Linked DNA regions of Caenorhabditis elegans. The protein of the gene in region 2 interacts with the protein of the main gene of each other region in a pairwise test. Each region holds a gene or a part of one and is shown on either strand. Other genes may lie near its edges. The genes, in order: Y105C5B.19, lgg-2, ZK1055.7 and C06E1.1.

Region 1 (4,533 bases), 5.0 Mb from region 2:
AACTTTTTTTCCAACTATAAAAGTGAAAAGAGCTATAAAAAATGCTAAAGTACTTAAGGGCACTGAAATCTTTTTAAAGTTGGAGTTGAACATCATCTGAGCCGATGATCTCTGAGATCAATAAATTTAATTCATGTTGATGCTAACAGTTCCAATAAATGAACACCATGAAACAATTTTTATAGATTTTGTGCTCAAATTTGAAGTGAGCAACAGTTTTCTGCGCAGTAAAATTTTCACTGTTGACCCAAAACTATTTTTTAAACAGTTATTATTGATTCTTTTTAATTTATATTTAAGTAATATGCGACTCTACAAATTGTGGCTGGAAATATAGTAGAAAATCTCGAACAGAGCCAAAAATTGCACGGGACTGCAATTTCACAACAAAAACTTTTTACTATGGGACTAACATTTCATTTTAATTTTAGCTCATGTTTCACAACACATTGAAACAGTAAAAATTTGAAATTTTCAAATTATTGAAACCTTGAGAACTATGAGAGGAGCGCTGGAAAAACTTTTATATAGACAGCTGAAATGTTTTTTTTTCAGAATTGAAATACATAAGTTAATAGAAAAGTCAACAAAATATAACAATTTCAAAAACAAATTATTCCATTTCCACTTCCTCTTCGTCATTGAAAATTTCTGATTTTATACTTCCTTCTGGGTTTTCTTCGTTTACCTGATAGTTACACATCATTTCTGAGCCATTTGGGAAAATTAGTCGGGATCTGAAAAAAATTATCGATTTTTATAAAACTCAATGAAATCACAAACTCTTTGAGCTCTCCATCCTCCTTGCGGAGTTGCTCTCGGAGCCATCTTGTGGCATCTTCACTTGCTTCGTTTCCATACATTTTGTTGTGGCGGCCTCTCACACGGTCTCTGAAAAATAAATTTAGTACTGAGCCCTGAGACAGTAAAACTCACAACTTATTGCCCATAACGTCGGTGACCAGCTTCCTCACTCGAAACTTCAGGTCTCGCGATTGTTCTTCGCCGAACCCACCGAGTATGTACTCTGGAAGAGGAACATGGTTTTTTTAATATTAAATTTCCTACTGTTTCAAAGAATTTATAAATTTTTGGTGAAACGTGTGGAAAACTAACCAGCAAACCCTTCGAAAAAGTCCCTAGCGATGGGAATATATGTAGAAGCGTTTTGTGAAGTTGCGTAGCACATCATATGGGGGTCCGCAATGGCAACCTTAAATTTTTGGAGTTTACGCAAGATTCTATAAAGTCTACGCAAGACTCCACTAAGCATACCTTATCGAAAACCGTTCTCGCCAGAGCTCTCACAAGAGTCACCAAGTTAGCCGTCGACCAATTCGACACATCTCCATCCGTCACAACATCGGAAATCATGAACCATTTCCTGCTGGGCAACGTCAAAGCTCTGTCAAACTTCTCGGCTGAGTCAATTGAGAATGCCTTGTTCGTTGTGATCGGTTCCGTGATTTTCTCCGCTTTTCGAGAAATCTTCCTGTGCTGCTTGTTTGCCTGAAAGCGAATTTTTTTTAATTTTCGAAACTTTTGGAAATTGCTCACCATCGCCGTAGTGAAAGCCATTCCAAGTGCCATTTCCTCCATCAAATTCTGATTTTGTGTTCGACACCGCTTGGCGAAATTGAGCCATTCGTAGTAGTCAACATCACGGTCATTTTTGATGAGTTTCTCCAGGTTTTTCTGAAAAATTTGAAGATTTATTTGGCAGGGCTAAGGTCTTGACTACAATGATGTACTGTAAGCAACTGACATCTTACGAGTTAGACTGCAAATTCCGTGGTGGGCCCGTAAAATGTCGGCTGCTAGCAACAGCAGTTTTAAAAGAGTCCACGGGTAATATTTTGTTCCTATAAACAAGCCGACATTTCACGAGTCTCAACATTCAATATTGTTCTAACTGGGCCATTGTGGTGTCGGCTGCTATCAAATTTCAAGCACTTGGATTTCAGCTCCCGACACTTTGCGAGTTTCTTTAACAATACTGTAAAGCACCGACTTCTGCTTCCGTTCGTTCGTTTTAATGTCGGCTGCTAGCAAAAGCAGTTTTAGAGGAGTTCGCGGTGAGATTTTGTTTCTACAAGCAAACCGACATTTCACAAGTCTCGCCATGCAAACTCGTTATTCTAACTAGGCCCGTGCAATGTTGGCTGCTATCAGATTTCAATCGTCTGAACTTCAGCGCCCGACACTATACGAGTTGCTCTAGAAATAATCCCCTCAAAACCTACCTCACAAGTCTTCCGATCCAATGGTTCCCCTTTCGCATAATCGTACAATTCGGAAGCAGCGAATCCAATCGGCAACCACATCCCATGCTTAGAGGCCTGAAGAAGGGGTGCCGAAGATGTTTGAGCAATTGGAGATGAGCTGTACTCTATCGGAAGGGTCTTACGACGAACCATCCCATCTCCATCCAACCAATCACGACAGAACTGCTTGGTGGATCCTTCAGACGTATTGGTCCATTCGACAGTGATACGGTCATTTGTGGTATCTACTTGTCCGAATGCAAAAGCATCGCAGGAAATTGTTAGAAGAATCTCCTCACTTGGATCGAGTACTCCACAATTTGGAGTGCACATCGTATCAACTCTGAGTCTTTTCATATATGTATTGATTCCATAAGCAATACGAAGAGCCGAAGTATTGATTAATTTGATTTTAGATTCTTGGTTTTCATTGTACGGAGCATTGAAGATGATTTTGCTCGGTTGGAAGTCAATTTCTCCTGGTGGAAGGGATTGAGCCATCACGGGGGAAAATTCTCGGGGTCTTTTAGGCTCAAAATCCTGGTAAACCTTATGTTCGACTGGAGCAACTAGAAGATCTTCCGGTTTTTGTTCGCATAGGAGTGGATACGGAGCAGGTCTTTTTGAAGCTCGGCGGGACATCTGAAAATTGAATTTTTTTTAGATTTTGAGCGTTCAAATAAAATTCAAAAAATCAATAGTGATAATCGACGTGGTGTCAGGTACACACATTCGGTTTGATCTACGAAAAATGCGGGAATATTTATTCATAAAAATTGTGACGTAAGCACGCTCTAAACCATGCAAAATCAGATGATATGTCTGCGTCGCTGCTCCCACATTTTTTGAAGGTCAAAGCAAAATGGGACTTTCTGACTAGCACTCGTTTTTTTTAAATTAAAAAAAAGATTTGAATTAAAAAACCGCGAATTTTCAAAATTAGTGAATAACAATATAAAATTCACGAGAAACAAGAAACAACACAAAATAAAAACCGATAAAATCGAAAACGTCACCGCACGGGAAGCATTGTTTGCGCGCAATGCCTCCCGCCGCGAGTTGAGAGACCGAATTAGTGTGAGAGACGCAGGTGGTGGTAAGAGAAATGACGAGAGACGCAGAGAAAAGGAACGTTTCAGGACAACGGACGTTGGTTTACGAGAGGGGGGTTTGGAGCGTTTTTAGTGTTTATTGATTGGTTTTGATTAGAATTTTGAATTTTTCGAGCGTTTGCCCCACAACAAAGAGATGGCAAATATTAAAAAAAAACTGTTAACTGTTAGAGAAAACATCTACTGTTTAAACAACTAAGCATAAAAGAAAAATTAAAATAAAAAATTAATTAATTGAAAATACTGTTTCAAGTTTGTATTTAATATTGATGTAACTTTTTTAAAATGCTGGGGAAAATAAAAATAATTTCACTTTTTCAACTGCAAATCATAGCTCCAAGAACAACTTGACATATTATTGGACTGATAATCTGTTGTTTCGGGAACATTTGTTAACGTTTATTTTTTCAAAGATAATTCCCTATAAATGATTTTTAATGAAAGAAAAACGCGGAAATCCTATAATTTGTTTTGCATTTCGAGAATTGAAATTACAGTTTCAAGTAGACTTAAAATTACTAGATAAATTTGATCATTCAATAATGCTTTTAAGTTTGTCGAAATTTCGAAGAAAAAAAATTTGTGAAACTGCTTAAATTTTCAGAAATTAATATTATAAAACTGACTAGTTTCATTATTGTTCGTGTATTGGAAATATTTGAAAATTAGCTTTTACTGCACTGATTTATATCTCATATAGGTGAGTGAAACTCGGTAGATGTCGGGCGCTCATATTTCGTTAGCGTTAGGCGTTCTTGAGAAACCCCACAAGTAATGTGGAATAATGTGTTGATTATCGGGTTTTTTTTTCACTGTTAAAACGACTGGAAAGGTCGAAGGATCTATCTACTAAAAATAGTTACTCAAGTTTTTCTTTTGAAAACCAGTTGAAACATCTCTGACAAAATTCAGATTTCTTTTCTCAAAAAAGTGATTTGAAATTTATAAAATAATTGATATTTCTAGAACACATTAAACAACTTTATGAAACTGTTTTTGGTGTAAAATCATTTTAAATGAAGGAAAAACGGAAAAATCATATAATTTTTTACGTTTCGAGAATTGAAATTACTGTTTCAAGTAAGAAATAAGATTTCAAGAAAAGTTTACTTATTCAATAGTAATTTAATGATATGACAGTAATTTAATTCAATGAA
Region 2 (3,876 bases):
GAAATCATCGGAATGAGTTCGTCTTCGAACTGACATCACATTATTTAAAACTATCTGCAAAAAAACAAATTTTCCAGAACTTATTCATGCATTTGAAGCGAAAACAAGAAAAAAGATCTGCAAATTAATTTTGAGCATGATTCCACCTTTCGCTTCGAGACCAGAGTAAAAAAACGTTAATGCGCCTTTGAGTTACGGTAGTACTGATTAATGGTTTGAACACCAAATGCATTTTTTTTCGATTTTGGCATGTTTTCCTTCTTTTTTTTCAAGTTATATCCGAAAAACCTAATTTAAAAAACTGAATAATCTTTTATCTAAATATTAACCATATAAATATCGACATTCCACTCGATTTCACAAGAAATTTCTTCATCTTTGAAGTTCGTACGCGGAAAATGCTATTAAAGAAAAGAAAATAAACGAGACGCAGACAAATGCACACGGCGTGCGCAGTAACATATCGATTTTGAGACGTAAACATAATTGAGTTCACTAGTCATGAGAGTCTGTTTACTCGTACATCGATTTTTCACTTTTCTTTCTTTCCCCTCATCACTTATTGTTTTGCTCTTTCCATAGTTTCGTCCTCATCTCAAAACTTCTTTCGAAATTATTTAGATACCCGCATTTTCAACAACGGAAAATCTAAGGAAACCCTTAAAATGTCAAAAAAATATCGCAGATTGCCAATTTTTGCTGTGAAATCTTGATCATATTTCATCACTTCTCCCTTTTTCGAAAATCGCGTCAAAGATCTAAAGTTCCGAGAAAAAAGTTTGCAGAAAAAAACGTCAGTTGTTCTGATTGGGAGTAGTAGATTCAGACTGGAAGTTCTAGAGATCATCTGGTTCCCCTGCCCTTTATCTCTCCCTGCCACTATTTTCAAAGTACAAGCACTTTTTTTACGTAGACCGATATAAAAGAGTTGGCTGGTATAGATAAAATCTTTAGTTTTCCGTTAATTTAAACGGCCCATTTTAATATTAGAAATTTTCATTCATAAAACCAAGCATTTTCACACTAGAACATTAGTTGAGAAGTTTTCTAGGAAGTATTCAATTAAAACGTTTTCTCCTATAACTTTCTTAGTGTCGCCAACAAGTCTCGCTGTCATATTTATTTAATTCGTTGCCACTCATCGTTTCAAATTTCGCTATCATTTCATCTGTCTGACACTGCTTCGAACTTCTGTATTAGCTGGGAGAAGGGTCATAATACACACTCTCATCTTCTCTAACTCTATTCTTTCTTTTCCCCATCTATTCCTTCATCACATGATTCTTCTCTTCTCATCGTCTCTCCGTCTCGCGGTCATGTGTCCTCGACGCTCAGTCGATCTTGTGGTGTGAGAAAAGAGAGTAGCATCAATGAAGAGACACAGAGGACAAAGAGACATACAGCAAAAGAGCGTGTGTGCTGCCTACTGCCTCTGTCTCGATTTTTCCCTCTGTCCCATTCCCTTTCACCTGTCTTTTCGCTTCTTGATAAAAAAATTCTCACAAAAACATACAGTGTCCTTTAGCATCTCACACTCTAATTTCTCTTCTAAAATCAGTTTTCTCAACTTTTCAAATACCAGTTACCATTTTTCAAGTTTGCAGATCGAAAATCGGGTCTCAGCACGAAAAAGTGAAGAAGCGTTTATGCTAGCCACGCTTCAAAGTTACACACAAACAGCGATGAGCGGAAATCGGGGAGGATCTTACATTTCCGGAATCGTTCCATCGTTCAAGGAAAGAAGGCCATTCCGTAAGTTTTTTAAAATTCATTTACTAATCAAACAATTGTCATCAAAATAAAAATAGAGCTTCAAGTCTCACTTTAATTTTACTTTAACATCAAACATCTGGTTTTCATCCCAACCAATTCATTCCCAATCATTCCCACTTTTTTTTCCTTCACCCGTCCATTGTAAAAGGTCAGAGACGCAGAGGACAGACACCCCGCGTCATGCGTTTCAGCGAGAGAGCATGAGGAAACAAGAGACAATATGCAAGTGAGACATGTGAAAATCAGCTGATCTTGTGTGAATGAGTGACTATGTCAGTGGAGCAGCACCCATGGAACATTGCGTATTAATTGGGTGCTCTTCGTTGTATGAAAGAAAGAGATAGATGGACCTGAGAAACAAAGATCAATAGGGCAGGTGCAAGGGAAATAGGATTATAGGAAAATTTGGATCAATATTGATATTCTAGAGTTCAAAATATTGCCCACCATTCAAGATAACAACCAAAACTGAACGTACGCCAATCTTTAAATAGAAATATGAATTTTACGAGTGGAAAAGAGAAATCCAGAACTGAGGAACAACTTTTTTATTTTCAAATTTTCGAAAGAAAACCTTTTTAACCTATTCGATTTCAGATGAGCGTCAGAAAGATGTGGAAGAAATCCGCAGCCAACAACCGAACAAGGTTCCGGTAATTATCGAAAGATTTGATGGAGAACGCAGTTTACCACTTATGGATCGCTGCAAATTCCTAGTACCCGAGCATATAACCGTTGCCGAGCTCATGTCAATTGTTAGACGACGGTGAGCTATTCAACTGAGTTGTTTTTTCAAAATCATCCGTTTGCTTTTCAGCCTCCAACTTCATCCACAACAAGCATTCTTCCTGCTCGTCAATGAACGCTCAATGGTGTCAAATTCTATGAGCATGTCCAATTTGTACAGTCAAGAGCGTGATCCAGATGGCTTTGTGTATATGGTTTACACGTCTCAACCAGCATTTGGATAACACATCAAGAGCCGTTTTCCATCACAATTCTAATCAATTTTTAAATTTCCACCAACACCACTGATTGCCCAATGCAATCCTCACTGTAAAATGTTGTATTTTTAAATGTAAATACCTGAAAACCCATCATACTCAGGCGCCAACCATTTTTCTAGTTGCCTTTGCTAATTTCGCCCCTCGCAATTCCCCACCTCAAAACTTCCAGCTGAAATTTGTTTTACAAACGAAAAAAAAGAAACCCAAATTCGCTTACGTTTTCGTGTAGTCTTTATGTGTTCCCTCATAACTCTTTCTCCGCATTTTCCAGCCCGTTTCTTGAATTTCTTCATGTCTTCTTTTCACAACTGATCCTCTTTCAACAAAATTTAAACCGTTTACGATTCTGTGTACTTGGCTAGTCTCTAAAGCCCATAGGGACTATTTTCCTTACTGCCCTGAACATTGAAATTTACCGCTATGGACTTTCTGACTGCCTAGACGGATTCAATTCAAAATTATTACATCTTGTTCCATCGTTACTTTTCCAAATTCAATGTATCAAATGTTTTGTATGTAATAACAACTTTTTCGTCGTTTTTATCTGGAGAATGTTCATTCACAAGGAGATCACATACATATATAATAATAATAAGAGATGATGATGATATCAACGATTATTCTTCTTCCTGGGTTGCGAATGGATTGGCGATTTGCTCGAGTCCATCTGCTGGGCTAACTACTGTAATTGCTGTTCCGCGAGCCACAATAAGACCCAGTTGTCTTAAGATAAAAGATAAGATAAAATCGAAAATCTAGATTTAATTTGAAATCCAAGCTTTAAATCGATTTTTGGAAATCTATCAATTACCTTGTCTCATCACCGACGACCGAAGGATTTTGTGGATCACGGAGATACTCGCGGCAGTCATCAAGAACCATATTGAGCAACTGATCGAATCCTCGAAGCACGCCACTTGCTGAAATTTATACATTTTTATGGAGTGAAGTACAGCTTGTGTATGTTGGACGCTTTCATATTGTTTAAATAGTTTAATGACGGAATCTTATTGCTAGTGCACATCATTGTGCAAAAAAAAAACCAACCTTCACGTCCTCCTTGGAACTTGACGCGAATCTCTTTGTCGAGAAATCT
Region 3 (4,742 bases), on a different chromosome or scaffold from region 2:
TTACATCCTTTCTGCTGATACCATTATTAACCTAAATTAAATATATTCAACTTTTCAGAGTCTCCTTCAACTTAAACACTCCTCTGACTGCATCGAAAAAGATGTATTTCATTCGTACAAAAACTGGTGTTACCCATCAGCTACATCAACCTCCACAATAATCCCAGCTCATACATCTGTACCTCAATTCACTTTAGTTATTTGTCACTAGTTGGTATTTTCATTGTTTTGTTTTTGTTATGCTACTTGTTTCGATATATCCGCATGTTGTTTCAAATTGACTATGCTAACGTTTTCTTTTCTCATCGACCAGTTTACTTCCCTGTTCTGTTTAATAGTTCTCAATCATGTTATTTTTCTCAATTTTTCTGAAGAGTATCTTATCATTTCTTTTTTTCTGTATTCCCAACTCACCTTGACATTTCTGAATTGTTGACCCAGCAAGAAACTTTGCATACCCTCTGACTGGTATTTCATATTTTTGGGAGAAAAAAAACGTTTCGAAAATTTGTGAATTATTATGTGAAAAAAAAAAAAAAAAAATTATCCTATCGCGTTTTCCTTTCTGCATCTAAGTCTCCAATGAGTCAGCACAAACACATTGCGAAACATTTTCTGTCTCTTTGGTATAAATAGAGAGTTTCCTCTCTTTGAAATGATTTGAAGGTTTTACTGATATCAACGTTATGAAATTTAGTCATCTCGTCGCGTTTCTTTTCGAAAAGTTTTGAATATTCAACTTTACGTTTTTTAGTTTTGGAAATTTCAGTGTGTTATTTCAGTTTATATAATGTTTCTGAATTTATTACAACACAAAATTATGAAAATGCGTAATGCGCTATCTGACTATCTGACGCGCAAAATATCTCGTAGCGAAGGCTACAGTAACTCTTTAAATAACTACAGTAGCTGTGGTGTCGGTTTACGGGCTCGACTTTTGAAACGTATTTATTCTCGAATAGTGATAAATAGCGATACTCTATTTTTCTTCGTTTCTTCGTATTATTTTCTCATTTTTGCTTAATATGATAAATTATATCTACATGATAAGTCAAAATGATCCCGTAAATCGACACAGGCGCTACAGTAGTCCTTTAAAGAATTACTGTAGTTTTCACTACGAGATATATTGCGCGTCAAATATGACATTAATAATATTTACAAAATACAGATGTTTTTTAAAAATATCTTTGTCTTTAGACAACTACTGCTATAATCTCTCATGCGTATATCGTATATTCGTTGAAATTTTAAAATTCAGTTTAAAGGCGCACACTATTTTTCTGTGTAGGTCTCGCCACGATCTCAGCTATAGTGATCGCTACAAGCTTCAAATTTCATGCATTGGTTCATTTAATGTAGAAATGTACGACCAGTTAGAAAAATACCAAACCAATATGTTGAATAAATTAACTTCAAGCCAGATTTTCTACAGTAAACATTAAGATTGTATCACCGTCCGTAAATCTATATATTCTTAGAAATGCAGCGATATTAATGATTAACAACAATTCGTGATATATACTTTCGTTATTTTAGAATTCCTAATATTTGAAAATACACACCTCTTAAAAAGAGTCATTTTCAGAAATGACCACCAACCCATCTGTCCACGAGTTCGAGACTCGTGATCTTAAAATTGCCGAGGTGAAAGTATTCACTGATAGAGCTGAAATCCGTCGTCTTGTCAAAGTTTCATTGAAATCTGGTGTCAATGAAGTTGTTCTCAAGGTTTGTAGAATATGAACAAGTTTTTCAAGTAGTTTTGAATTTAGAACCTCTGCAAAACAATGGCTCAAGGATCAATTAGAGTTGAAGGAAGAGGAAATGCAATCATTCATGATGTAGTTATTAAGAATGTTTCTCGTTTGCCAACTGAAGCTGATCCTCCAAAGGTTGGCAAGATAATTAAAATTCGAAAATATATTCTTTTTTTTAAGATCACCAATCTCAAAGCTGCCATTCTAGAGGAGAAAAATCGCCTCCAAAAAATCACAGATCGCGGAACGGTTGTCCAAAAATGCGTTGACAATTTGGACAAAGTTTTCGAACAAGTTGGTGGGGGTCTCGTGAATCCACCAAAAGATGGTGTTGCTTCTTTAAATGAAGGAACTTTGGAAAGTCTTACAAATTTCTTCCAATTCTATGGGAGCAACTCCGAATTATACAGAGAAAGTGAGTTTAAACGATAAATTTGAGATTTTAAAAAACTTAATTTTTTTTTCTAGAACTACGATCAGTTGAAGCTGGACACCGTGAGCAACAGGAAAAAGTTTCGAAACTGGAAAACGAGTTACGAGCTCTAATGCACAATTTGAATGAAGAAGCGTTCTCTCAGTGAGTTTTTGAAAAGTTTAAGGTGGAATTGTGCCAGTCGGGGAATTTACCAAAATATACTAAAAATGGGGCAAAAACAACTTTATATGTCTTTTCAAATCTTTCTTAATCTTAACTCAAACTTTTGGCAACATACCAAATTTTGAATCATTTAAAAAATTTGAAAAACTATCAAAAAACCCATAAAAATTTGAGGCGCACAATGAGCTATGCTTTGCTTTCTATGCACTATTTATTTTCAAATACAAATGGGATTACAGATAGATTTGAAGATATGCAAAAAAGCATCCAACCCTAATAAAAATTCGAAATATTATAAAGAAAAGTTCCATATGATTTTCCATCTATTTCTAGAAACAATTTATTTTTTGAGTCTTATTGTTTGACATTGTTAAGCTGTAGTATTTAAGATCACTGTTTGCCTATCTTCCCAACAAATTGATAACTTAATTTTAGCACTGCCACAATTACTTTGGAATGCACAGAAGACCTGGAAGCTGAGCTGAATGTAGTCTATCAAGTGTTAGATGCTTCGTGGCATCCATCATACGATATCCGAGTTGACACAGAGAAACCATCCATGAGCATTACATACTTTGGAAAAATCCGTCAATTCACAAAGGAAGATTGGACTTCTGCACCACTTGTTTTGTCAACTGCTCAGCCATGTCTTGCTGGCAGAATTCCAGATCTTGGAACTCTCGAAGCAACCTTCCGTCGTCCTGAAGTTCAACATTATCAAACAAGATCGATGAATGCATCAGCCTCATTATTTGGGGCGCGGGGACCGCAGAACCGTCGAGCCGAAACACTCGGATTTTCAGATGAAGTGACTTTGGCTCCACCAATGGCTGTCGCTGTTGCTTCAGAAATCACCCAAAACACGTTGAGCACAGAATTTAAAATTCTCAGAGAAGCAACAATTCCACACGGTACTGATGAACACAAAGTTACTATTGGAGTTGTGACTCTTACACCAAAACTTGTTCATGAATCCGTTCCAAGTAAGAATGCTGCAGCTTTTCTCACGGCTTCTGCTGTTAATACTTCTCAACTTGCACTCCTGGCTGGATTTTCATCTGTCTATCTGAATAATGCATTTGTCGCAACAGTAAGATTTTTTTGTTGAGAAAATTGATTTAAAACAAATTAAGTTGCTGAAATAACCAAATTTTAATAGTAAGAATTCTTCTATCGATTCAATCTTGTTTCACTCTGAACATACAAGAATGATCTGAATCTTTCAACAAAAAAAAAGAAAATTTCAAAACTTGGAAATTTGTCAAAACTCAACTAGAAGTCATTAAACCTCTAAAACATTGTATAATGAATGATATATGAAAATATTTAGTCTCATTGAATCAGTTTGAGTATATTTTAATAAAATCCAACTTTTAGAGTCACCTGAAAAACGTGTCACCAGGTGAAAGACTCACTTGCTCTTTGGGAGTTGACACGGCAATTCGTGTGGAGTACAAGCCGGCAAAGAAGTACCATGAGGAAGGAGGTTACATCACCAAGCACTCTGCAAATGTCACGGAGCAAACAATCTCCATCAAAAATACGAGAAATGAGCAGCCGGTGCTCCTAACCGTGAAGCATGCGATTCCACGTAGCACTGACGAGAAGATCCGTGTGAAGCTAGTTTCACCAGCAGCTACGCCATATGATGCGGAGAAGGCTGGCACTGAAGCCGAGAATTCTGAGCCTGTGGAAGGGGCAAAGTTCAATTCCAGCAATCACTTGGAGTGGACTATAAAGCTGGCTCCGAGCAGCTCAAAGGATCTGATCATCAAATATGTGGTGGAGCATCCAAAAGATGAAACTGTTCAATATCAAGAGAATTTCTAAAGTACATCCAACAGTGAATTGATACTTAAATGAAGTCGTCTATCTTTTACAGAAATTTTTGTTTTACAATTTTCCCATTTCCGTTTTATCGGTTTTCATTTTTTTAATGTTTTTTTTGCACTTTCTTCACCTCTAGTTATAATATGCCCATCGAATAATCTACGCTTATAGATGGCATCAATTTACGAACTTGACATTCGAAATCAGGAAATCAGTGGAATTACAATTCTCAGTGACCGAGCTGAAGTGAAACGACGGGTACCAGTTAATTTGAAAGCGGGAGTTAGTGAGATTTGTTTAAAAGTGAGTTTCTTTTTTTGAAAATCATTTTATTGAAATTCCAACACTTTAAATCTCAACTTTTGAATAATTTACATACAAAGACTAATATAAAACTCATTTTGTGTAGATTATCTTTCTGAAAAAGTTGTATATAAAAAATTATAGTAAAAATGAGCCAAATAAAATAAATATTAAAAAGAACATTTAAACATTATTTTGAAATTGTTTTTGAAACCTTTTGAAATGCTGGTAATTTGCAAAAATTTTGACTT
Region 4 (3,218 bases), on a different chromosome or scaffold from region 2:
CAATGTTTTTCTCAAAACTAGAATGCAATTTTACGAACTCTCGTTTTTTTTCTGTAGCTCACTAAGCAATTTGGAGAAAACTCGTGGGAAAATTCCATAAAAATCACCAGAAATTTTGTAGCGAAAACGTATGTATATTGATGTTGGTTTGGAGGTAATACGTCGGGATTTTGACAGAATATTGTATTTGAAAAACGGGCAAATAAACGGGATTTGATCTGAATTCATTTGACTATAAACTCCAAATCTCAAAAAACGGATGACACAATTGGATACGTCACATAATTGTGATCATGCAAAAGGGAATGATTTTGGGGTTATAGATAGTTTTATTGAAATATTAGCTTTGTAGATAATTAACATGTGAAATTTGATTCAAAATTCTACAAAAGATTACTGTAGATTGAAGAATCGAATTTTCGAGTTATTTCCAGGATTCATATTGTCCCCCTGTGATTTGTGCCCCTGTAATTGCAGTATGTTTATCAAATGATTCTGTTCGCTATAGATATTGTAATTTTTCGCTGTTCACCAATCTAACCAACTATTTAAAAAATTCAGACACCATCTTCCTTGGTGTTAAATTTCTAATGGAGAAGGCAATTCCAACCGAGATATCAGCTGTTTGAGTTTTGTGCAAGCATGGTGCATAGACAAGAAAGAATGGTATAAATTTGGCAACTGAAATGCCGGTTCAATTTAAAAATTTCAGTAAATTTCAAACTGCTATTTCATAGAACTGAAATGCCGGTTCAATTTAAAAATTTCAGTAAATTTCAAACTGCTATTTCATAGAAAAAAGCATAAATCGTTTGAAATAGTTTGATAGTTGACAATTTTTGAGAAAACTTTTTTTTTTTAATAAAGATGGTCAATATATCAGTTGTCAAAGTTGAGAGAAACATGGTGCATCGACAAGAATGCAACAAACAAACTCTGGAAGCGTTTATTTCAGTTCACTACATAGTTTTTATGAAACTTTTTTGAGTAACATATTTTGAAAAACATGTCTTCTTTTTAATATAATGTTTTGTCAGAACTGGAATATTCCAGTGTTCTTCTCTTTTTTGCACATCTTTCAGGCATTCCAAGTAGGTACAAAGACAGACCTATGCCGGAGCTATTTGGTAGGCAGTGACGTAGACAAGCGGTCTCTCTCTTCGTTCGTATCGATACCAATCGATACGGTCCCTCTATAATCCGTCTGTGCATCATTTGCTCTATATAATTGAGTGAGATAGTACTGTAGATTAAGAGAGTGCAGTGCTCAGGTGAAAACGTTCCATCTGCTCCTCTCTTGTATGTTGCAAATGGCAGAAATATGCTCATTTCTTTGTTTTGTTGTTCGTCTTTGCGAGCTAGAACCGATATATTTCTGGAAACATTTATACATTTACATTTGGAAAATAAGTTTAATTTTTGAAAGTTTCCATTAAAGCTTATCGGCTTTATGATAAAATCTCAACTTATCGAAAACTAATTGTATGACTCATACGATATCTAAAACAAATAGAAAACGAGAGTCTTTGCTGTCCTACCACCCAGCAAACTTTCCATCAAAATAACGAAAACTGACCATGACTTTTTTGAAGAAAAAAAGTAATCGGTTTTTAAATAGTTTCGCAATTTCTCACCGACTAATCATTATTGCATGCATAATTTTATAAAAAGCCACGATTTGCAATTGATTCTCATCTTTGCCGTCTTTTGTTCCTCACTTTTCCATCCCTTTTTATTATTTTATCGTTCGTTTTGTTTTTCGCCTCGCTTTATGTGACTTTAATATTTTCACATTTCATCGTTTCCTCTCTTTTTAACTTCCTTCTTGATATTTGATCAGTCTTTTCTTATTATGTAATCTTCGAAAATGTTGAATAGTTCGGTAGAGCGCGACTTCCCACATTACATAATTTCCAGATATTCAAAAATGGCGACAATTATTGCAAAAATCGAGTCAAAAATCAACGAGTATTTGAAAGCAAGAAACAAGGAAGACTGGAAAGAAAAGACTTTCACTCAAGCTGAAAAGTTTTCTGGAATTCCAAGAGAAAGAGTAGGTTATATAATGTCTTAATTAAAAACAATATTTGTTTTCAGATCGTCTCAATGGCATTCCTGATGCTTTCCATCTACGTTCTTCTCGGCAACTTCCTCCCACTCTTCTCTCATATCATTTGCATCTTCTGGCCAGTCAAAGAGAGCTTCATGGTAAATTTCAACTATCTTCATTTTCATTAGAAATCAACTGAACACTCTTACAGATCCTCCGCCAACAGAAGAATCCATCAGACAACATTCTCCTCTATTGGATTCTCTATGCAATGGTTTCACTTTTTGACTATTCTGCTCTTCCTGGAGTCCCATTCTATTACTTCGCTAAAACCGGGCTCTTCCTCTCGATCACCACAAATGGCTTCGATAAACTCAAGGAATGGTCTGAGCCAGCTCTGAAATTCACCGAAACATGGGTTCTGGTGACTCCACCGCCGCCTGGAGAGGAGGAAAACTGAGCTCTCTGAATTTATGGAAATTTACGGAACTGACACTTTGACACGCACGGGATTTTTTTTTGAACATGTTTTTTTTTAAACTGATATAATTTATTTATCACCCAGCCAAATTTACACCGAATTGTATTGCTATCACAAGTGTAAAGAAATCATTGGTTTGTAAATCGAATTCTCAATAAACTCCTCGTTTCTTTCTATCAGCTCCACGTTGCTTGATATCCGACTTGTGTTTCTCTTTCATTTGACGATCATGTCCTCCAGTATATCCATCTGCAGATGGGGCTCCACCACGATTGCCACCTCGGGCTCCACGACCTCCACGTCCACCACGGGATCCTTGATATGGAGGTGGTTGAGATAAACCAGGTGGTGCAGAAGATCCAGCTTCATCCTCTTCTGACGATGTTTCTAGTTCTTGGCTGAAATTAATATTCTCATGATTTTAATTTAAAAGTTGCAGTGCAATATGAATTTAAATCTGACCAAAAACTAACTTTAATCTTTCAATATTGAATTCTCTTCCATCAAACTCATCATCGTATTCATCATCATAAACTCCATTTCCTCCATCATTCGGGGTCTCGTAACGATACTTATTATATGTTGGCCGAATTGCCACTTTATCTGCTTCACTGATTTTTAAGGAGTTCAATGCCGAATACTTTTTCGAAGTCGCAAGAGGAACAAGATTCTCAGCATCAACAGCAA

Evidence for each region.
Region 1: the proteins of lgg-2 (region 2) and Y105C5B.19 interact in a two-hybrid assay, tested with the Caenorhabditis elegans proteins (one large-scale study listed by BioGRID).
Region 3: the proteins of lgg-2 (region 2) and ZK1055.7 interact in a two-hybrid assay, tested with the Caenorhabditis elegans proteins (one large-scale study listed by BioGRID).
Region 4: the proteins of lgg-2 (region 2) and C06E1.1 interact in a two-hybrid assay, tested with the Caenorhabditis elegans proteins (one large-scale study listed by BioGRID).

What each region holds. Positions count from the first base shown.
Region 1 is NC_003282.8:15,981,065-15,985,597, forward strand, and holds Y105C5B.19 (Major sperm protein), read right to left. Parts: upstream 2,907-4,533; coding exon 2,244-2,906; intron 1,696-2,243; coding exon 1,558-1,695; intron 1,510-1,557; coding exon 1,276-1,509; intron 1,214-1,275; coding exon 1,117-1,213; exon of another isoform or gene 1,113-1,116; intron 1,028-1,112; coding exon 937-1,027; intron 892-936; coding exon 784-891; intron 738-783; coding exon 614-737; 3' UTR 511-613; downstream 1-510.
Region 2 is NC_003282.8:10,933,632-10,937,507, reverse strand, and holds lgg-2 (Protein lgg-2), read left to right. Parts: upstream 1-1,604; 5' UTR 1,605-1,646; coding exon 1,647-1,752; intron 1,753-2,370; coding exon 2,371-2,539; intron 2,540-2,590; coding exon 2,591-2,744; 3' UTR 2,745-3,312; downstream 3,313-3,876. Other genes in the region: Protein adenylyltransferase fic-1, read right to left, coding at 1-36; lsm-7 (U6 snRNA-associated Sm-like protein LSm7), read right to left, coding at 3,398-3,503, 3,592-3,700, 3,828-3,876. UniProt on the Caenorhabditis elegans protein: Ubiquitin-like modifier involved in the formation of autophagosomal vacuoles (autophagosomes). When lipidated mediates tethering between adjacent membranes and stimulates membrane fusion. Less effective at promoting membrane fusion than lgg-1.
Region 3 is NC_003283.11:6,602,222-6,606,963, reverse strand, and holds ZK1055.7 (Protein F37C4.5), read left to right. Parts: upstream 1-1,588; 5' UTR 1,589-1,590; coding exon 1,591-1,731; intron 1,732-1,775; coding exon 1,776-1,895; intron 1,896-1,940; coding exon 1,941-2,175; intron 2,176-2,228; coding exon 2,229-2,337; intron 2,338-2,793; coding exon 2,794-3,448; intron 3,449-3,735; coding exon 3,736-4,188; 3' UTR 4,189-4,228; downstream 4,229-4,742. Other genes in the region: gon-14 (HAT C-terminal dimerization domain-containing protein), read left to right, coding at 59-161; ZK1055.6 (Protein F37C4.5), read left to right, coding at 4,360-4,491.
Region 4 is NC_003281.10:8,603,917-8,607,134, forward strand, and holds C06E1.1 (HVA22/TB2/DP1 family protein), read left to right. Parts: upstream 1-1,915; 5' UTR 1,916-1,927; coding exon 1,928-2,053; intron 2,054-2,097; coding exon 2,098-2,208; intron 2,209-2,261; coding exon 2,262-2,510; 3' UTR 2,511-2,682; downstream 2,683-3,218. Other genes in the region: C06E1.9 (ASCC2 family CUE domain-containing protein), read right to left, coding at 2,683-2,929, 3,005-3,218.